Schizosaccharomyces pombe: one gene and its partner. The protein of the gene in region 1 interacts with the protein of each later gene in a pairwise test. Each region holds a gene or a part of one and is shown in the gene's direction. Other genes may lie near its edges. The genes, in order: rhs1 and dri1.

The links.
Region 2: the proteins of rhs1 (region 1) and dri1 interact in a two-hybrid assay, tested with the Schizosaccharomyces pombe proteins (one large-scale study listed by BioGRID).

The regions. Positions count from the first base shown.
Region 1 is NC_003423.3:3,332,075-3,339,888, forward strand, and holds rhs1 (protein rhs1), read left to right. Parts: upstream 1-2,935; 5' UTR 2,936-3,035; coding exon 3,036-4,142; 3' UTR 4,143-5,075; downstream 5,076-7,814. Other genes in the region: exosome subunit Rrp43, read right to left, coding at 1-111, 218-553, 652-695; RNA polymerase I upstream activation factor complex subunit Acr1, read left to right, coding at 1,529-2,281; putative ATP-dependent RNA helicase Dbp3, read left to right, coding at 6,677-7,814.
Region 2 is NC_003424.3:2,008,002-2,019,448, reverse strand, and holds dri1 (RNA-binding protein involved in heterochromatin assembly Dri1), read left to right. Parts: upstream 1-7,743; 5' UTR 7,744-7,753; coding exon 7,754-9,544; 3' UTR 9,545-10,104; downstream 10,105-11,447. Other genes in the region: leu5 (coenzyme A transporter), read right to left, coding at 100-1,080; signal recognition particle subunit Srp21, read right to left, coding at 2,508-2,608, 2,751-2,940, 2,993-3,064; SPOM_SPAC17H9.06C (uncharacterized protein), read left to right, coding at 3,311-4,313, 4,354-4,850, 4,898-5,122, 5,163-5,243; rRNA processing protein Ebp2, read right to left, coding at 5,516-6,517; rdl1 (RAD51D-like protein 1), read left to right, coding at 10,608-11,300. UniProt on the Schizosaccharomyces pombe protein: Mediates heterochromatin assembly by promoting RNAi-mediated heterochromatin silencing and histone deacetylation. Binds pericetromeric transcripts and recruits the RNA-induced transcriptional silencing (RITS) complex to heterochromatin.

The DNA.
Region 1 (7,814 bases):
GCATAATCGAAGGCACTTCCATCATAATTTAAACAAATAATATCAGCATACAATACCCAGGCTGCTTTTTTTTCAAAAATGCATAGGGACTGTAAATTAATCAAGTTAGATCTGTATAAGTTGTTAGTAAAAGTAACTAAATATTCTAAATGATAGTTTAACAATAAATGAAACGTATGGTAGAAAATTAGAAAAATTCCAATAATTTGATACATACTGTTGCAAAGTCTGATGCAATTCCTGCGAGACAACTTGCGCCAAGTCAGAAGGAGGGCCAGGTTTAAATTTGCTACTGCAAAGAGGTGATAATTCAAGATTGGGAACAATCCAACCTTCATTGGGAGAGTTTTCAAAAGGTTCAGCAATTTCTGCTTTTATTCCACACACAAAGACATTTTCGCCAGCTCGAATGATAGCACTACCATTAGCAGTAGATATGCAATTATCATTAATTACAATTTCTCTGAATTCTGATACAGACCGCCCATCTGATCGAACATCCTGATTAAGAAGATGTGATAAATACTGCTCAGGCGTGATTTTCTTAAAAATTCTATCCAGTAAAATGTTAGTACTGTAACAAAGAAAAACAAAGTGAAAAGGAAACAGAGCACTAAAAAAGATAGAATAAGAAATCAAAGAGCAACTTACGAAGGTGTAAATGAAAGCTGTTTTACCCCCGAAACAGTTTTCATGATGTGAAAAGAATGTAGTGTTTCAATAACGAAGCTAAATGATATAGTAACGTAGAAAGACCAAATAACTGAAGAACGATACTGAAAAATATATAAAATGAATATGAATCACAAGAATTCGATATATGTGCTGAATTTTGTCTACAGGTTGAAATTATGAAATGGAGTAGAGGGATGAAATAGGTGTACGAAGTAAAGTATGAAAAACTTATATGGTAAATAAAAGGTTTGTGAGGTCCTTAAAATGTTTAAATTCCTTGGTTTTTTTTTAATTTATTGAAGGTATATTCGGTGCAAATTTCAATTAAGGATTGATAATTCATTTGAATTTTAGCTACAAAATCCCAATTCGTTTAAACGATTTTGAAAAAAGAGATCACATAATTAACATTTAAAAATGCTAATTCGAAAAAAATTTATTTAAGGCCTTTTCTACTGATTTTTTTTTTTTTAAAAAAAGGTAAAATAACAAAATTTACAATGATCCATGGTTAAAGAAAATAAGGCATAATTAAACAATTAAAAGTCAGCAGAATACATACGGAATTTGGTAAGTAGCATAATATATAGCTCTTAAATTAAAGTAAGTTATTTGGGTGCATGTTTATATTTCAAAATTTGCACACTCTTAGTTTATCGGTTGTTAGACGAAGCAAAAGTCTTATATTAATAAAAAAAAGGAAAAGTTTTTTTCTATTAGATTATAGTTAAAGGAAATTAAAAAAAAAAGTCAGTAAACACACTTAATATCGCGCCAGGTACAATGACCTTTCCTTAACCTCTAGCCTACGAACACAACAGCCGGATGCTAAACCTTCTGAGGAAATGATGCTATGAATGATTCTGAGGAAGAATTAGAGCAGCAAGGAAGTCAAGAGGATATTTCCTCTTCTCAGGATACTTCGGATGAAAAAGAAATGCGAAAGCAAGATGCTCTATACGCACAGCTAATAGAGTATCGAGAAATTGTTTCCGAACTGAGAAGATCTGAGATGAAAAATTTGTGTATTCAACTTTATTGCAGTTATAAAGCTGGTATAACTCGTCGAAATGAATTGCAAAGCGATTTGGACGGTTATGAACGAAGGATTCCACCACGTCTACGTGCAGTATGGCCTACAATTCATTCCATCCCCGATGAATCATTTTTTGATGGAACCTCGGCTTCGAGGTTTCGCCAAGAGGCTGCATATTTGGCTGTGCGTTTAGCATCAAAAAAATTACACAAGTTGGGTAGAATGGCTTCTTCTGAGGAACTGCCTAATCCGGATGGCCTCCGATACTTGGTTGAAAGGTTACAGATAAAATTGGAACGCCTTTTTGATTCGGTTGATACTTTTCGACAAGAACAGGGAAGCAAAAGCATGCAATCACGTGTAAAGCCTATGGATTGGAAGATTCTTTACGGACTTGCTCGAGTCACAAACGGTTCGTTTTCCTCGTCGCAAAAAGCAGACGTTCTTGCATTGGGCAATGGTACAAGAGCTTGTCAATCATTATTCAAAGAGATGTCGTTACAACCTAGTATTGATATTGAAAAAGTTTCACACTCTAACCCAGAAATCTCGATAGAATTTGAGGATTAAGAAATTGGTGGGAAATTTAATAAGTATGAGTATTTTGAAAAAAAACACGCATCTGTGAACAGGTCAATCTGCGTAAGTCTCAACAATTAATGTTCCAGTAAACATCTTTTGGCTGATGTATATGTTTAATTATTTGTGTAACTCCCGCCGTATTTGCACATATAGTTTTTCTGCATCCGAATTTCTTTTCTTTTTTTTTAAGTTATTTTGTTTTTGCGTTGATCTAGGAAAAAGGTTCTACGCAACAAGAATATTGTTTCAACTTTATCATGCTTACAAGTTCATCCTACACTTTAAACTGGAAGTGGCAAGTATTTGCTGAGGTTAAATCTTTACTGTTATGATACTGTTTTCCAATATATCTAAGTTACACAGTTTTACTAAATTGTATAAGCTATTTAACAGTCTATGCAAAGCTGATGGTGTGTTCGTTTAAAATAAGGGCGGCACGTGGTACTGTAACTTGAAGTCCGATGTAGAAAAAATGTGGAGATTAAGTGATAACAAATACTACGGAAATAGTAAAAAAGTCATAGAGAAGCGAAGAACGAACAGTTGCCGGATGGCAACCCAGTTACAATAGACTATCGATTACAAAAGTTAGCGAAATATTGGGAGCGGCTCCTTGGTAAACGCTGTGAAAGGAACCTATCCAAAGCAAACCACAATTGGCAGGAAATTTTTTTTGAAGTAAACAACGTTTGGTTAAAACTTTGAAAATAGGCCAATTTCAAAAAAACAACGAGTTGTCTTTATGTCGTTTGTAGATGGAGTCAACAGTTGGTTTTCGGCCGCTTCTTATTGGGATGGGCTCGGTCCAACAAATGTTGTTCAGCCAGAGGACGATTTGGCTTTTGTAAGTCAATTTGAAGAAGTTGAATCGGCTTATGACAATCTCGTAAAAAATGGTATGATTGCACCTCGTCGAAAAAATAGTTTTGCCTCCTCAGTGAACAACCCCTTTTCGACGAGTGCATTGAGCGAAGCCTTAAATGGCAGTGTTTCAATGAGTCATGTTCCCAGCTCTGGTTTGTTAAAAAGCACACTTTCGAGCACCCCTACTGCAGGCTCTAATCTGCTGGGTACGTCTCCTGCTGAACCGGCAAGTGGTTTGGTCGGTTCTAGTGGTTTTGGTTCCAGCATGCTCGGAAGCTCGTTACCAGGTAATGCTACTTCCAATTTCGGTTCACAAGCTAGTACCTCATTACTACATCCCAGGAGATCCACAACGTCTTTGCTCTCTAGTAGTGCTCATCATTCACGTTCTTCGTATTATGATCTTGCTACTCCGACACGCTCCTCCTTTTCTTACAATACTGTCGGTGCTGCTAGTTTACCATCTGGTGGGCTTTCTAATCTCTCCTCTTCATTGCGTTCTTCTTCAAAATCGGCTGGGTTTTCGTTGTTTGAATCTGCTTCAAATAGCTTTACGCCCTCTTCTTTCATAGAGTCCGCTAACATGGAATCTTTATCGATTCCTTCTCGTCGTCGACCTTCATCGATAGCTCCGATCGGTACGCGTCCTTCTCGTAAAGAGATCGCATTCAGTAATAGTTCTACTCCTACTGACCAAACGCTGAGGCCTCCAAATCCACCGGCTGCCAATGGAAATGCCACACCAGTTACAGCAGTGAACAATGTTTCTGCTGTTGCTGATTCTCCGCAGTCCACTGGCTCTTCTGTTTCTTCTTCACTACCAACACTAAGTTTGGACTTCAAGCAAGAATACAGCGGGAACAATCATGATATGTCTGGATTGTCTTCCTCTCTATCTAAATCTCATAACTCAACTTCTGCTTTAAGTTCTCAGATTTGGTCTTCTCCCTGTGCCAGTACTCTTGGAGGTGTCAACGTGTGGTAATTGCTACATTTTCTTGATGCGGAACTTTCTTGGACACGGAATAGTATTTTATTTATAGGTTGAGCTTTGAAGGTTGTGATCTATTACTTTATAATTTTAATTCTTTTGCATTTGTGGGCATTCTGTTGTTTTAAAGCGCTCATTGGAAACTTATTCGAATAAGATAAGGAAATCTAATATTGGTGCTGATGATTTCTATCCTAATATTGTGAGCATAAGATATTTCTTTATTTTCTAAAAATGGAAAACAGAAAAATTGTAACTTTTTTGTTAAATAAGTTGCCGGCAATTTTTTAATTCGCTTTCACTTTTATGTTTTTTAAAAGTGTTTCACGAATTGTCGACGTTGCTTAAAGGTATGGTTTTTTTTCCTAAGAACTTTTGAGTGTGGGAAGGGTTTTTGCTTGGTTGAATAGTTTGTTTTGTGAGAAGGTTCTGGATTGAAGAAAATGTCAAGTTACTTGACTATTACTTTCGGCACATAGGTTTATGGTGATAAATCTTTGCATTTTCTTGACAAAAGAGAGGACAGTGGTTAAAAATGGGAGAGTTAGATATTTCTATTGGTATTTAGTTTGAACTATCAAAGTTAGGGGATTCTTATCGTACATGGGTATACTACTCTTGAGTGCATCGCATGCTTCTTGTCACAGCAAACGGCATGGTCAATCGCATTTGAGTCTAGGTTGTTGGTTTTTATGATATTACGTCTGTGCAGAAGTTTTGTCTTTCACAGGCCATCGTGCTCTTTATCTGGATTTATTTCAGGGGGGTGAATCAACAGCATAAAGATGTAAATATTTTTTTAAAATTTTAAGTAGCCAAATTTCAAAATCAATTTTATTTTACTTGATAAACTAGATTTGGTTAGAAATTATTTTTTTTATTAATAATTTATAGTATTTAATTCACATATATAAAGCAAACCTGGACTTCATTGTACTCTTTCATGTTAATTAGTGATGATTTAAGTTAATGAATAGTAACATTTATTGGCCGTTATTTCGCTCGCATAAAGTTGGTACAAATTACTACCGATTCGGAAGCGTTGTTCGCTATATGTGAGAAATTTAAAAGGTGAACATTATATAAAGAAAATTAGAATACAAATAATAGATATGGTGAAGATTCTTAAAAAAAAAAAATTAAGAGTAGTCAGTAATCGTGAATGTAGTAATGCTAGTTAATTGACATTCTAGGAGGTAAAAAAAAAAGTATCCGTCTCCCATACATCCGTAACTAAATTACACGAGATAGCAAATCTATAGACAATTTGGAAATTGATTAGGTTCGCCTCTATTGCTTAACCGCGATAGGCACTTAACCTTGTTCAATTAATATTTTTAGAATATGTCTGATAGTAAACTCGAGAGAGACAACATTATTCGAACATTGTAAAAAACTTCCAAATTTATACTAATAAACCTTACTTAGTTAAATATCAAGCCAGAAAACCCATGACTCTTGAAATTCTTTAGTTGGTTTTAGCTAAATTAATGAAACACAAATTTAATTAAAAAACATAAATAAATCAATTTTATACTCGATTACTTCTACTTCAAGTATCAGGTTACACACATCGAACGCAATGGCAATCATTTCAAAACAGCTTTGTAGATTTTAAAAGATTAAGTAGAAAGTCTTGCGACTTCTAATCATATAAATCCATACCTCTTAATTATGCAATTTCCAATGGTAATATATATTCTAATATGCAGTTAGCTTCCTACTCCTAAAAGCGCTTTGGACCCTTATGTATTTCTTTAACCGATGTTAATAATACATTGGCAATATTTAATAGCAGATGATCAAAAAGGATTCTGCATTTATAAGTTAATCCATGATACATACAGACAACAGTCTTTTCTAAAACGGAATAATGGGGCGCAACCATTACTTCACTGCTTCTAGCTTATTTCTCAAAACACAACCCAATCTCTGTCCAATCTAATTATGTTAATAAATTTCGTAATTAGTAAAAAACCAATTGACAGGATGCTTCCAATTATTTAGACAGATAATAATTTTTTGAAACAATAAATTTAATTAATAACGAAACACACTCACTGCCTCTGTTTACCTAGCTTGTTAGCGGCTTTTTAAAACAATATACTGTGGTAAAGATTTTAATGACCTATATATAATCTTATTAGATATTCTTATCACAAAAAGTAACTATTATCCTTCTAGTAATATAATGAAACAACTACAATCAAACAAAAAACAGCCAGCTGGATATATTTTTTTAATGAAAATATAAAGAATGATTTTTTTTAATCTATAATTATTTAAATTTTGTGAGCATTATCTTTCGTACTACAAGACCAATTTGTTAGTAACAAAAAAAATCTGGGATACAATAGCTTACATAGCGCGAAAAGAACGTAATGCAATTTTGTTTTAGGATTTTAATATTGTATATATCGTTAAGCATAGATAACAATTACTTGGTTACTACGTTAATATCTCTGAAGGAAAATGTTTTTTTGCATATTTTTACTCTAACCTTTCTCTTCAAAGCTTTCCTTTTAAAAATGGCGAAACGATCAGTGGAAGAGTTAAAAAGATCGGCGGATGAAGAAGCTTCTGTTAAGCGAAAGGAGAAGAAATCAAAGCATGAGCATAAGAAGCATAAAAAAGATAAGCCCTCTGCCGACAAGGATAGAATTTCAAAAAAGGATAAAAAGAAATCAAAGAAAGGAAAATCAAAAACTAAAGAAGAATCGATAGAAATCAATGCGGAAGAGGGAGCAAAAATCGCACAACCCGCGATCGGCTCAGCTAACGCTTCTAATCATAATGATGAAGAAGCGTATGACCGTTACATTAAGAAGCATAATATTTCTTTTGCGGATCCTAAATCCTCTGAAAATTTACTTCCAATTCTTCAGTTCGATGAACTAGACGTTTCAGCTAAGTTACGCGAGGGTTTAAAGAATTATAAGGAACCTACGCCTATTCAAGCTGCTACTTGGCCTTATTTACTAGCTGGGAGAGACGTGGTAGGAATTGCTGAAACCGGTTCTGGTAAGACTGTTGCATTCGGAATTCCTGCTTTGCAATACCTCAATGGTTTGTCAGATAACAAGTCTGTCCCTCGTGTTTTGGTAGTTAGTCCTACTCGAGAATTAGCCATTCAAACGTATGAAAACCTCAATAGTCTTATTCAAGGTACCAACTTAAAAGCTGTGGTTGTTTATGGCGGCGCCCCTAAATCGGAGCAAGCGAGGGCTGCCAAGAACGCCAGTGTCATTATTGGTACCCCTGGTCGTTTGTTGGATCTGATTAACGATGGCTCGATTGATTGTTCTCAAGTTGGTTACCTTGTTTTAGATGAGGCAGATCGTATGCTTGACACTGGATTCGAACAAGATATCCGTAACATCATCAGCCATACCCCAGATCCCACTCGTAATGGATCCAGACAAACTGTCTTTTTCAGTGCTACTTGGCCTGAATCCGTTCGCGCTCTTGCTGCTACCTTTTTAAAGGATCCCGTTAAAATCACTATTGGAAGTGATGAACTAGCTGCTTCCCAAAATATCACACAGATTGTTGAAATTCTGGATGACCCAAGAAGCAAGGAGAGAATGCTTGATAATCTTCTCAGAAAGCATCTTTCTTCTGGAGGGAAAGACGATAAAATCCTCATATTTGTTTTGTACAAAAAAG
Region 2 (11,447 bases), on another chromosome or scaffold:
AACTAATGAATATATCATACACCTATAATCCCGTAGATCTTTTTTTATAAATTTTTAAAAAAGGGATAATTTTTTTCATAGAAAACTATGTCTGCAGTCTCAATCTATCCCTAAAAGCGCTTTGCTGTGATTGTAAACAAAAAAGCTAGTGCTTACCATTGGGATAACCTTAATGTAACCTATGGTAAGTCCAACGAAAAAACCTCTCATACCGGCTTCTTTGTAAGTAGTTTGTACTACCTGCTTAAGTCTAAGAAATGATTTATTTTTTCTGATACCACCAATTTGCATTTTTCGTCGACAAACTTCGAATGGGTAAGAAACCGTTTGACCACAAACTCCTGCAAATGCTCCACAAAGTAGTTCGGGCCAAGTTTTAAGTTTTTTATCTGACTTTTTTGTAGAAACCCATTCGTCAATTTTTTGTTTATGAAAAAAATCAGTTGCAAGATCGTAGGCAAGAAACGACATACCAGCATATGGAAAGATTCCAGTTAACGTAACAGAAAATCCACGATAAAAATTACAGATTTTTGACAAACGGGATAACCCAGGATACTTCTTATTGCACAAAAAATCACGTTCGTGAAATATATCTTTTGTAACTTGAGTTAGGGTAGGATTCTTCCCTGTATTGGTTATGTAGGCTAAACGAACACGAATCAGCTCTAACGGGTATGTAAAAAAAACAGAGCAAGTTCCGGCAAGTGATCCTGATAAAAATCGCCGAGCATGTGTTTCATGTTCAGGGTCACGAATTAAAACACGCCGTACTTGTTCGTATGCAACAAATTTAATGCCCGCATAAGGGAAGACTCTGTATAAAGTAGCAGTGTGGCCTTGATAAAGACCGTGTAAGCCATAGACGTGGTAAATGTGTTTGATAGCCTTATAAAGCCCATGCCGTGAATAAGCATACCCTCGATAAGAAGCGTGATTGGTTTGGTAAAGGATTTTCACTCTATCTAATGGGGCAACTACTGATTTTGCAACGCATCCAGCTGTACCACCAGCAATTCCAGATTTGACTAAGAATTCCCATGAATCCTTTTCCGGATATTGGGCAGTTGAGTTAGGCATGTAGAATCCCTGAAAGTGTTTAAGTTAAATAAAGAGGGGATTAAAAAGATAAATGGAAGGACAAAACTTTTCGTACCAAATGCCTAAACATAAAAAAATTGTTAAAACTGAACGTTTTCAACTTCTTACTACAAACAAAATTACATGTAAATAAGATTTAGCATCAAATGTCCAAATATCTTGGATCAATAACAGTGATTGAAGGAACACGAGAACACTTATAGTAGTAGCAAACAGTAATCTGAATAGAAAACACTTCAGATTGTCCAACAAGATTACCTATAAAGCAATCAATTATGCTTTTGAAAGAAAATGAAAGTATCTTTTAGCTTCTGTTAGAATTCCAGTAAGCCCATAGGTAAGGTAAAAAAAAGGCTGTAATTTAACAAATATATTTGTAGGCTAATAATAAAGGATCAAAAGAAAACCAATCCGTTGCTAAAAAATAAAAAATTAAGCCCCTGAGTATCCCAATAATAAATAAAGAAAGGCACTCCTAATGCTCAAATAATTGTTGAGTTGCCGATTTTTTGGTGTTAATGCCCACAGCACTGGAAGGTGGAAATTAAGCAGGCAGTAATATATTTCTCATAATTAAACAAAAACGTTTACTCAATAGCTTTGGAGATAATTGATGATAATAATTTTGTTTAGATCAATCATAGATTAACATAATAAGAATTTTTGAACTATGATGCTAATTCTCTCAACCTACATAAATTGGTTTATGAACAAAATGGTAAACAAAATGTGATAAACTTAAATAAAGATACTATTAAGGTGAAAATGAAGTTGTGTCTATACATATCCATATTAAAAAAGTTGCTCTAGCAAACTTTAAAAGGAAAATTGCTTGTATATTGAATATGAAGTTCACACTGTAGTAAACTAGTTTTTGTGCAATCGGTAACTGTAAACAAACGATATTTTAAAAGCAGAAACATCAACTTTTTTTACTTATTTGCTAATGCAGTAAAACTTTTCATCCTTGTCTAAACGATCTGTCCTAGCGAATGAATAATGAAATTCACCGAATAAAGATTTTTGTACTAAATAATATGTTACCAACTGTGCATAAAGGAAATATTATATTTTAGCACTTGAAATACCTGTAAATGAATACACATGCTTGTTATACTTTTATAACCAATCACATCGGTAATACCAATGCGAATGCATCCTTTTGATTATGTATAGCATTTGCAAATAAAAAATGATATTAAGAAAGAAGGGGCCATTATTCATGTTGGTCGAATAAGAAAGTACAGAACGACTGACTTACACTGCAAATTATCCTTTTTACCTTTATTGATAAACCGAGAGAATTGCTATTGTAAGATAAAAGTAAAGAATTAATCCGATCCTAAGATATCTAACGTGACACTAAATGAACAAAATGAAAAAAAAAAACACGCCAAGTGCTACACTCATTTCTTCTTCCCCCTTTTTTTTTTCTTTGAACCCTTAGGAGGAGCGGAAGGCTCCGCTTTCTTTTGCTCTGTAACCGGAGAAGCCACTACCTCTTGTTCTATATAACATGACTGTTAGCGAAACGTAAAAATTAGAAGAGCATAGTTACATTAATAACTACTTTTAAAGGAAAACATCTTCCTTCCAAGCGCTTCTTTTTATAACAATGCAAAAACAATTGATATACTAATAATACATACCTGGTTCAGGAGGAATTTCGTTACCTGTGGAGACATAACTAAGTTTGTTTGCAATTAGAAGTAATCTGCCAAGTTCAGCCGCCTTGTCAGTCCTATATTTTAGACATATTCCAGAAGCACTTTCAAAGGCTTTCGCGATTAAATAATTTTGACTCTGCTCATTCGTGCGATATTTGATACTAAGTTTGGTCTAAATGAAAAAAGTCAGAGTTTGATTATCAAAGATATCATCAACACCATACCGTTTTTGGATAAGCCTCCGTTAATGATTTTGACTGTGTGAAGAACTCATTCACAGTTTGCAGGTAAACCATGGTATAGTGGCTGATGGTAGGATCAACACATCAGGCATGCACCTCGTAGTGTTGTCTGAAACACAACTAAGTTATATTTGAGTCAATCGAAGGTTACTAAAATTGAATATAATTCATCCAAAAAACGTAAAAGCTTTTTTTACTATTTTTTCTACTTTTTGGTATACTATATTGGTTTTTCACGTATAACAAACTACTGAAACTATTAGTCGACAAATCTGTCAACTTAAAACATTCCCCTAATTTATGGTATCAAATCAAGACAATGTACAGAGAAATGATGTTCAAAAGTATCCGATAACTAGGTTTGTAAAGCGAAAGAGCAATGTTGTGCTTAAAAAGAACAAAGGAGCTATGAAATCGAATTCAAATTCACGCAGTAGAGGGAACAAAAAATTAAAAGAATCCCAATTTTCTTCTCGAGATAATTTTAGAACCACTCAAACTCAAGCATCTTCGTCAAGTGAGCCTAGTGATAACACGAACAGACTAGTTCCGGTGGTAATTATTGATAATAATACTCCAAAGAAAGAAGAAAGCAATGCCGAAAAGTTAAAGTTAGATAAAGATTCTTCAAGCGTTAATTATGAGAACCAAATCAGCAAACCGCTTATTACTTTCTCCGATATTCACGAAACCGTCAACGTTCCGTTTCTTTGTTTAGACAAGCACGACTCAAAAAATGAGGTTGCGATTAATTCACATGAAGATTCGCCTGTATGTCTTGAAGATATCACCGGGTCACTGTCATCTACTTATGGCAACGATAGTTTAGGTGAATCCAACTTGGAAGAATTACCCACTAGTGATAAAATAAAGGGAGAAAACATGGGAAGTCGAAAGAAACGAAAAGGATTTGTCATTGATTCGGAGGATTCCGACACTGGAATTCCAAGAGAAGAAAATGTTACGATTACGAGAAAGACGAAGCTGTCTTCTAATATACTATATTCCGATTCTGATACCGAGCGACAGAGCGATTCTGGTTCAAAAAACGTTGCAAGACAGTTTTCTCGAATAAAACGAAAAAGGAAAGTTTTGAGCTCATCTTCTGAAGATGATGAAAGTTCATCTCCTGAAGATTTGTTGAAGCCCATAATTAGATCAACAGAAGAAATGGAGAATTTAAATGAATTAGAACAAGAGGTTCAAGATTTGGACCCTATTGATGAAGGTTTCGAAGAAAAAGTGCCAAGATTTCGAAATCCTTCGAAGAAGGCATTTTATGAAAAACTACATAGTTTAAGAAGTAAGTAATTTTTTTGTTCTTTTATTAACGAATAATTAAGATCGAAGTTATAGCAAACTTGAATCTCTGACTTCCGAAAAATCTGATACATTGATTACCAAATCTGAATTGGCTAATGAATCAGAAGAAGACGATTTTATAGTGGATGATGAGGATACAGAGGTAATGATGAATGCTCGAAGTTTACTTCCTGCAGAGTTTTCAATGACAAGTCATCAAGGTTTAAAAGCACACTTTCGAAACTTTATGATGTTTATAGTTCAGCAGGCTATTGATCCAATAGACGCTTCTGATATATCTGATCATTATTTGTTTAGCCGTCGAACTATTCGTAAACAGTTATATTCATCAGTTGATTCGAATATCATCTCAAGCATTTGGCAATCAGAGTTCATTAAACTAATCAAGACTGTACCAAATATGAAAAGTGCCAAGATCGATGCTACTTATGGCTGTGATGCATGTAATATTCACACCAGAATGTCAACGCAAATTGTTTATTTTAAAGGAATGCCTTATAATGAGCATAACTATAAAGTATGAATTGATTTTCTCAACACTAGCGGGCTACTAACTTTCTAAAGGAGCTAGACAGTTTTGAACCGATCACTAAAGAAGCGTGGATGCTAGGAAACAGTTGCTTTAATCGTGCTAGAATTGCACACAGCATATATCATTGGGAATATAAAGTTAGTCGACATATACAAGTTGAACTCAAATTTCGTGAAGCTTCTAACACTAGCGAGCAAGGAAAAAATATTGTTGAAAGCATATATGAGGATCTTAAGGATTCAAATTTTTTTGAAACGGTAAGTATTCATGAGATATTTATTATTTCTAACTGCTTAGACCTGGGTGGAACTATGCAATTTATTGAAACTTGCAAGTTCTTCATTCGAATCTAATTTCCATAGCCGTTCCTCAATGTAATCTAGAAATTTAGTAAAACAAATTTAACCGATTTGGGTAAAACGGTGCAAGAATTTGATATTTTTTTAGAATTTATTGTGTGATCGGCTCTAATTGTATATTACATAATTTAATATTTATAACTGTTCATTTTTTTTGCAAAATTCTTGTTGCTCTTCTTATAATATATCGCCTTCAAACTCGACTGAAGTACGAAACATACCTATTGTAAAGAAGAAATAATGATATTAAACCTAAGATATAGTTATTTATAGACCCCTTATAAACCCCAATTATTTTCTAGCCTTTTCACGTCGCGCCTTACCGGGACGTTTTTTAGATTTAATGTTTTTAAGACCTTTTCTCCCAAATTCGGTAGCAGCAAGACTGTCGAGATCATTGCTTTTGCTGCGATGCTTTGGACCACCAAATCCATACTTTTCATTTTTCTTTTGTCGCTTCGGATTAGGCTGTGGCCGTGATTTCGTACTACGGCTACCTTTTTTAAATGTATCGGCAGAGGCTGATGAAAGAGCAATATCAAAGTCATCTTCAGTGGTAAGATCTCCTCCAGTATGCTTTCGTTTGAGAAGGTTAATTTTTTCGAGGGTTTCCTTTTTTTCCCGTTGACGCTCTTCTTGTTTAGCAAGCTGAACTTGTTTACCAAACTTCTTGAGTTCTCGTTGTTTCTTAGCTTGCTGGGATAGTTTTTTAGCGGTTGCTTCTTTAATCAACTCTTGACGCACTTTCTCCATGTGGTCATCGGACTTTAACATTTCCGCAAAATAGTCATGAGGTCGGGAAATTAGAACATTCGCCTCACGAAGTTTGGCAAAAGCCGCCTTTACAGAGCTCACACCTTGTTTATAAAAGGCCAGTTCACGGGCAAGATCATCCTCAACATTTTCAATTATTATAGGCTCCTTAGTAGTAACAGCTTGGTTTTCAACAAACGAAATATCATCAGGATATTTAATTCGTTCATAGATGTTCTCTAGTGCAACAGTGTTATTTATAGCTAATTTTCTTTTTCTAATCAAATCAGCGTCTTCTTCCAACTCAATTCCTTCAAGATCAGAAAGTTCAACTTCATCTGATCCCTCAGATTCGTTCTCTTGATCAGCTGTATCAGCTGTTTCAATAATAGGAGATTTAATGGTATTGATCATTTCTTTCTCATTTAATGCCTCAACAGAAGTAGAAGATTCATTGCTTTCCTTGTTTTTCTTTTCCTTCATAGCAGCTTTAGCTGCCTTTTTCTGAGCTCTTCTTTGCTTTGATTCTATTCCTGCCATCGTTGTAGTCTAGTGTGTATTCTACACAAAGCTGAATTTGAATATTTTTCAAAGGTTTTGAAAAATTTGCTTTGTGCTACTTTGATTAATACAATCTACGATTAGGCTAACGGTGACAAAGATTTTTACTATTGCAGTTCACATCAAATAATAAAGAGCACATTTAGAATCGCTAAGCTGATTAACGTTGCGTTATATTACTCTTAGTCTTCATTTAGGTTGTACGGAAGGCATTTAATAAATCCTTAACGTAAATTTTAACCCTTTATTTGTCCGTATAAAATTCGTTGTATCAATTTTAAGCTATAACTTGGTCGCATTTTATCGATTGTAGAGTTATTGCTGATAAATTTATGTTTTGCTACATTACACCAACTCTAATTGAAATGACGGTAATTTAGTAAATTATCAGTTGTGTAAGTAAATTACTATCAGCTTTTTTATGTAGCAAGATGTACAAATACTTTTCAATGGATGGCTTTTCAGTATAACTTTTCCCTTGACTTCCTGATACAATTGTCAAAATAAACAACAGTTCTTTGATTGTTTACGTGGTTACAAAAAACCCCGGTATTGTTCATAAGATGTAAGCTACGCAGTTTGGTATCTGATTTAAGGATACGTAGAACTGCGGTGAGTTTTCCTTGTGATCTATTATATTACAATACACAGGTTGTATAAGTAGCAACTGAGTATAGGTATTGTATTAACTGGGTTATAATGTTAACTATCACTAATATAGCTCATAACTGAACTGAGGAACGAGGTTCAGCAGTAGCTCTATTTATAGTATTCAGATAATATTGATCTTAATAGATTATCATTAAGATCAATCTCCATATCGTATTATACATGGTACGATATATAATTAGAACATGTGACATATAGTGATACTCAACGTAGTGTAGTATTGCTGACATAAGAATACCAAATGCTTGATGCGCTAAATTATGGTATAATAATTTATCGTAAAATTTTCATTTTCATTGTGTTTCGAAAGTATTGCTAAATTTTCTGCTTTGCATGCAAAAGAATCCCACAACAATACACGATTCGACAGTAACATCAGTTGTACATATTATTGTTCATAAAAGATTTTTCTCCTTTGAATAATTCCGCTTAGGTGGATTCTAAATCTAGATTTGTTACTTTTGTGACTGTACTTGTGAGTGACAAAGAAAAACACCAACGGGTTTGTAGCTTTGCAATATCATGTCAAAGCTACCAAGTCCAACAATGCCTCTGCCAGAATCGGTAGGCGACTTGGTTGTTTTGCACTTTGAAACAAATCTTGACGATCACGGCATTAGCATTGGCCGGGCGCCATGTGAAATTCATGAAATATGCTGGGTTATATTAGATGGAAAAACTTTGGAAAAACAACACTGTGAATCGTGTAGTATTCGTGAAGATAGTTCTCGTCATGGAATTTGTGGTTCTGCTAGTTCCTTAACTGAAGCTATCTTCACATTGGATAATTCAATCCAAGAACGATTAAACTTCCAAGGAAAACCTTTTACATTTGTTGTTATGAATGGAAGAGAGCTTCGTGTATTATTGCCAAAAGAAGCACGGGATCAGGGAATTACGCTACCTTCCTACATGCGCCATCCTCGCTTGTTTGATTTATCAAGCGAATACGCCAAGTGGCAGATTCGCATGGGTGCAGTACCACCATACACAATAACGCTTTCTCATATTTTTGGTAAATTAGATGTCGACTCTTTACCACCTATTACAGAGTCAAAAGCAATTGAATTATCACCTTCAGATGCTCCTTACATAACCAAAGGTCTTACTCAATGCTGGCGCCTTGCAAATGCTACCACCTTATTGCTTCGTAAAGCAGAGAAAGATTCTCGAGGTCATTCTCTTCCTTCGGTGCTTACACAACCCATTAACTGTCAAGCAGACGCACGAAGCTTTTATGCAGAACGGTCAAAAATTGTACACGTTGCAGGTTTGACCAACGATGTAACACAGCTCGAGTTGGAAAGTTGGTTTACTAATCATGGGGTTCATCCCGTAGCTTTATGGACTTTAAAGACTCCCGAACCTTACAAATCTACGGGTACAGGTTTTGTGCTATTTGCTAGTCATGAAGATGCTGCCGATGCTCTTGCCTTTAATGGATATTGCTTAGGAGATCGGATGCTGGAAATTATTCCCAGTAGTACAAAGGTTTTAGATAAAGCTTCAGACATTCTAATTCCTTTTCCTTCTAGTAAGAATCGCCCACGCCCTGGGGATTGGAATTGCCCAATGTGCGGTTTCAGCAATTTTCAACGTCGAACGTCTTGTTTCCGATGCTCATTTCCTGGTCCTACTCATGTTTCAGCTGCTACTGGTAGCAATACTTTTTCACCTGATTTCCCTTATGGAAATTCATACGGCAACGGCTCCTCTCACTTTATTGCCAACTATGGTGGATCTGTCCATCATTCTAACGAAAATACCATGCAAAGTGATCTTCAGCATCAGAATGGCAATAATGCTGTAAATCATCATCATTCTTCACGCTCATTCGGTGGTAATGTCCCTTTTCGTGCTGGTGATTGGAAATGTGGCTCTGAGGGTTGTGGATATCACAATTTCGCAAAAAATGTTTGCTGCTTACGCTGTGGGGCTAGCCGTGCTACAGCTGCAGTCGTAGCAGATCATGCATCTGGGCCGGTGAATGGTTCGTATAGTCATAATTCATATTCTCACATCCCCCCTGTTATGAGTACAAGTCCTCCTAATCATTCGGTGTATCCTTACTCACAACTTTCTATAAATTCAGTAACGGCTAATCATGGTCAAAATTTTGGGGGACAAAATGGTGGTAATGTATCTAGGTTCGATGATCATGGACGCTTTAAAGAAGTATCACGTCCTTCCGTTACTACTGATCAAGGCGATTGGTTATGTGAGTGTGGATTTACTAATTTTCGTCGCCGCAGTAATTGTCTCCGTTGCAATGCTCCGCATTACTCTAATATGCAGATTCCTGCATCCTTGCCTTCGGATTTCAATGCTTACGTGTAAAGTTGGACAATTATATTTAATGGATAGGTCCCGTAGTACAAAGGATATTTGGTAAACACTATAGCTAAAAATGCAAGTGATTAGTGCGATAAAAATAATCACTTATGTCTTGAAGGAGCAAATTTGATGAAACAATTGTTATTATTTAAAGGCAGCATTTTGAAAAGCAACTCTATTGGAACAAAAATTTAAAAGTTGTATTGGGTTTTCTTATGAAGGTTTTGCATAAACATTGAATTACAGGTGTGGTCAAAATTAGTTCATAATTTTCTTTGGTGGGTTTTTTTCTTCTATTTAGTGCTATTTAATTTTTGACCTTGAAGAAATTTTCGGGGAAAAAACAGCAGTCAATCGTATAGAGCTCTCCCATATTTGGGATTTGGGGATTCATTTGTTTTGGAGTGTCACACTCATTGAACGTTTGAAAAAATGGTTGTTTACCTCTTACAGTTGTCAGTGCTGTTCAAATTTATAGGGTTCTTCGGTAAATAATGTATTGTTAATATTCCTTTTTTTTATTATATAATTTATAAAAATTTTGTAACGATAATGATTAAATCAATCGATACATGAGGTTACTTGTAATACATGGCATTATTAGAGAGAATTAAATTCGCATATGTAGCATTTAAAAACAGTTAGTTGATGCTTTTCTATTTTTTCTTTTTATTCTTAAAGGGTTATTCTCAATATATACAAATCCACACCAGTGTGGCTATATACTGTACTCGAATGTTGACGACCTTTCTGCTTCTTTAATCCATACCCTAATTAAATATAATCCATGTAGATAGTTCAACAAAAAACATGAGATAAGATTCAACACACACTCATGATTAGTTAAATACTTGTTGAACATTCCGGAAATTTTTGACGATTGTACGTATCTTTTCCTTCAACGCATTTGGGTGTTTATCTCTTTTAGAATGCCATTAGCATAACCAGGGGATGATTGCAAAAATCAATTTCATTGATCATCAATATCGTTGGAAAAAACAATTCTATCGAAAGTTTAAAGCATACCAAGCAAATTCTTAAAGCAGCTTATATATTTTCTGACATTATGAATCAGGTTACTCAATTTAGTGGAAATTCTGCAAACTTGATGCTTTACTGGATTCTAAAAAGTTATTACTCTAGGTTTGATAGAATTATGTGGATTGATACTTTAGGTACTTTCAATCCGGCTGCACTCCCTCTTCCATGTCTTGAAAAAACTATGTTGGTTAGATCATTCGATGCTCAGGGATTGAAGGATGCAGTTGATGAGTTGGAAAGCAATCTCAAAAGCTCCGAAGATCAAGCATATGCATTGTGTATAGATTCCTTTTCTAATCCCATTGGTTTGTTAATGGCTCAGGGCAATATATCTTTTGCACATGCATTCATGATGACTTTAGGAAGAAAATGCCGAATCCTTACCAGAAAATTCAGATTAGCAGTATACTTATCTACTTCTCTTGTGTACATAAAGCAACTCCACCTTTCCAAACCAGCGCTGGGAAACAGCTGGCCATTTTGTCTTGACCATTCATATATTCTAGAAGATCAACAGCATAATAAATGTTTAGTACATTGCAACCAAAGTCGTAAAGATTTACTAGGTTGCTCACAACTTTTTTTACTCCTTAAAGGTTCGTTTACTCACGAATATTTGACTATTGATTTCTACAATGGTACACCTGTCTCTGTTTCATCTAAATTGCATGTATCACCAAGTCTGTATCACTCATCTACGCTCAACAGTCCATCATGAGTATACTACCCCAAAATATCAAAGTTTAAAAAATATGTAGATGACTTATTAAGGATTTATTTAATGATATTGTTTTTTATACATTCAATAAAAATCTGTAGATAACACTTCTAAATAAAGAATTAAAACTAACATATATAAAAAGAA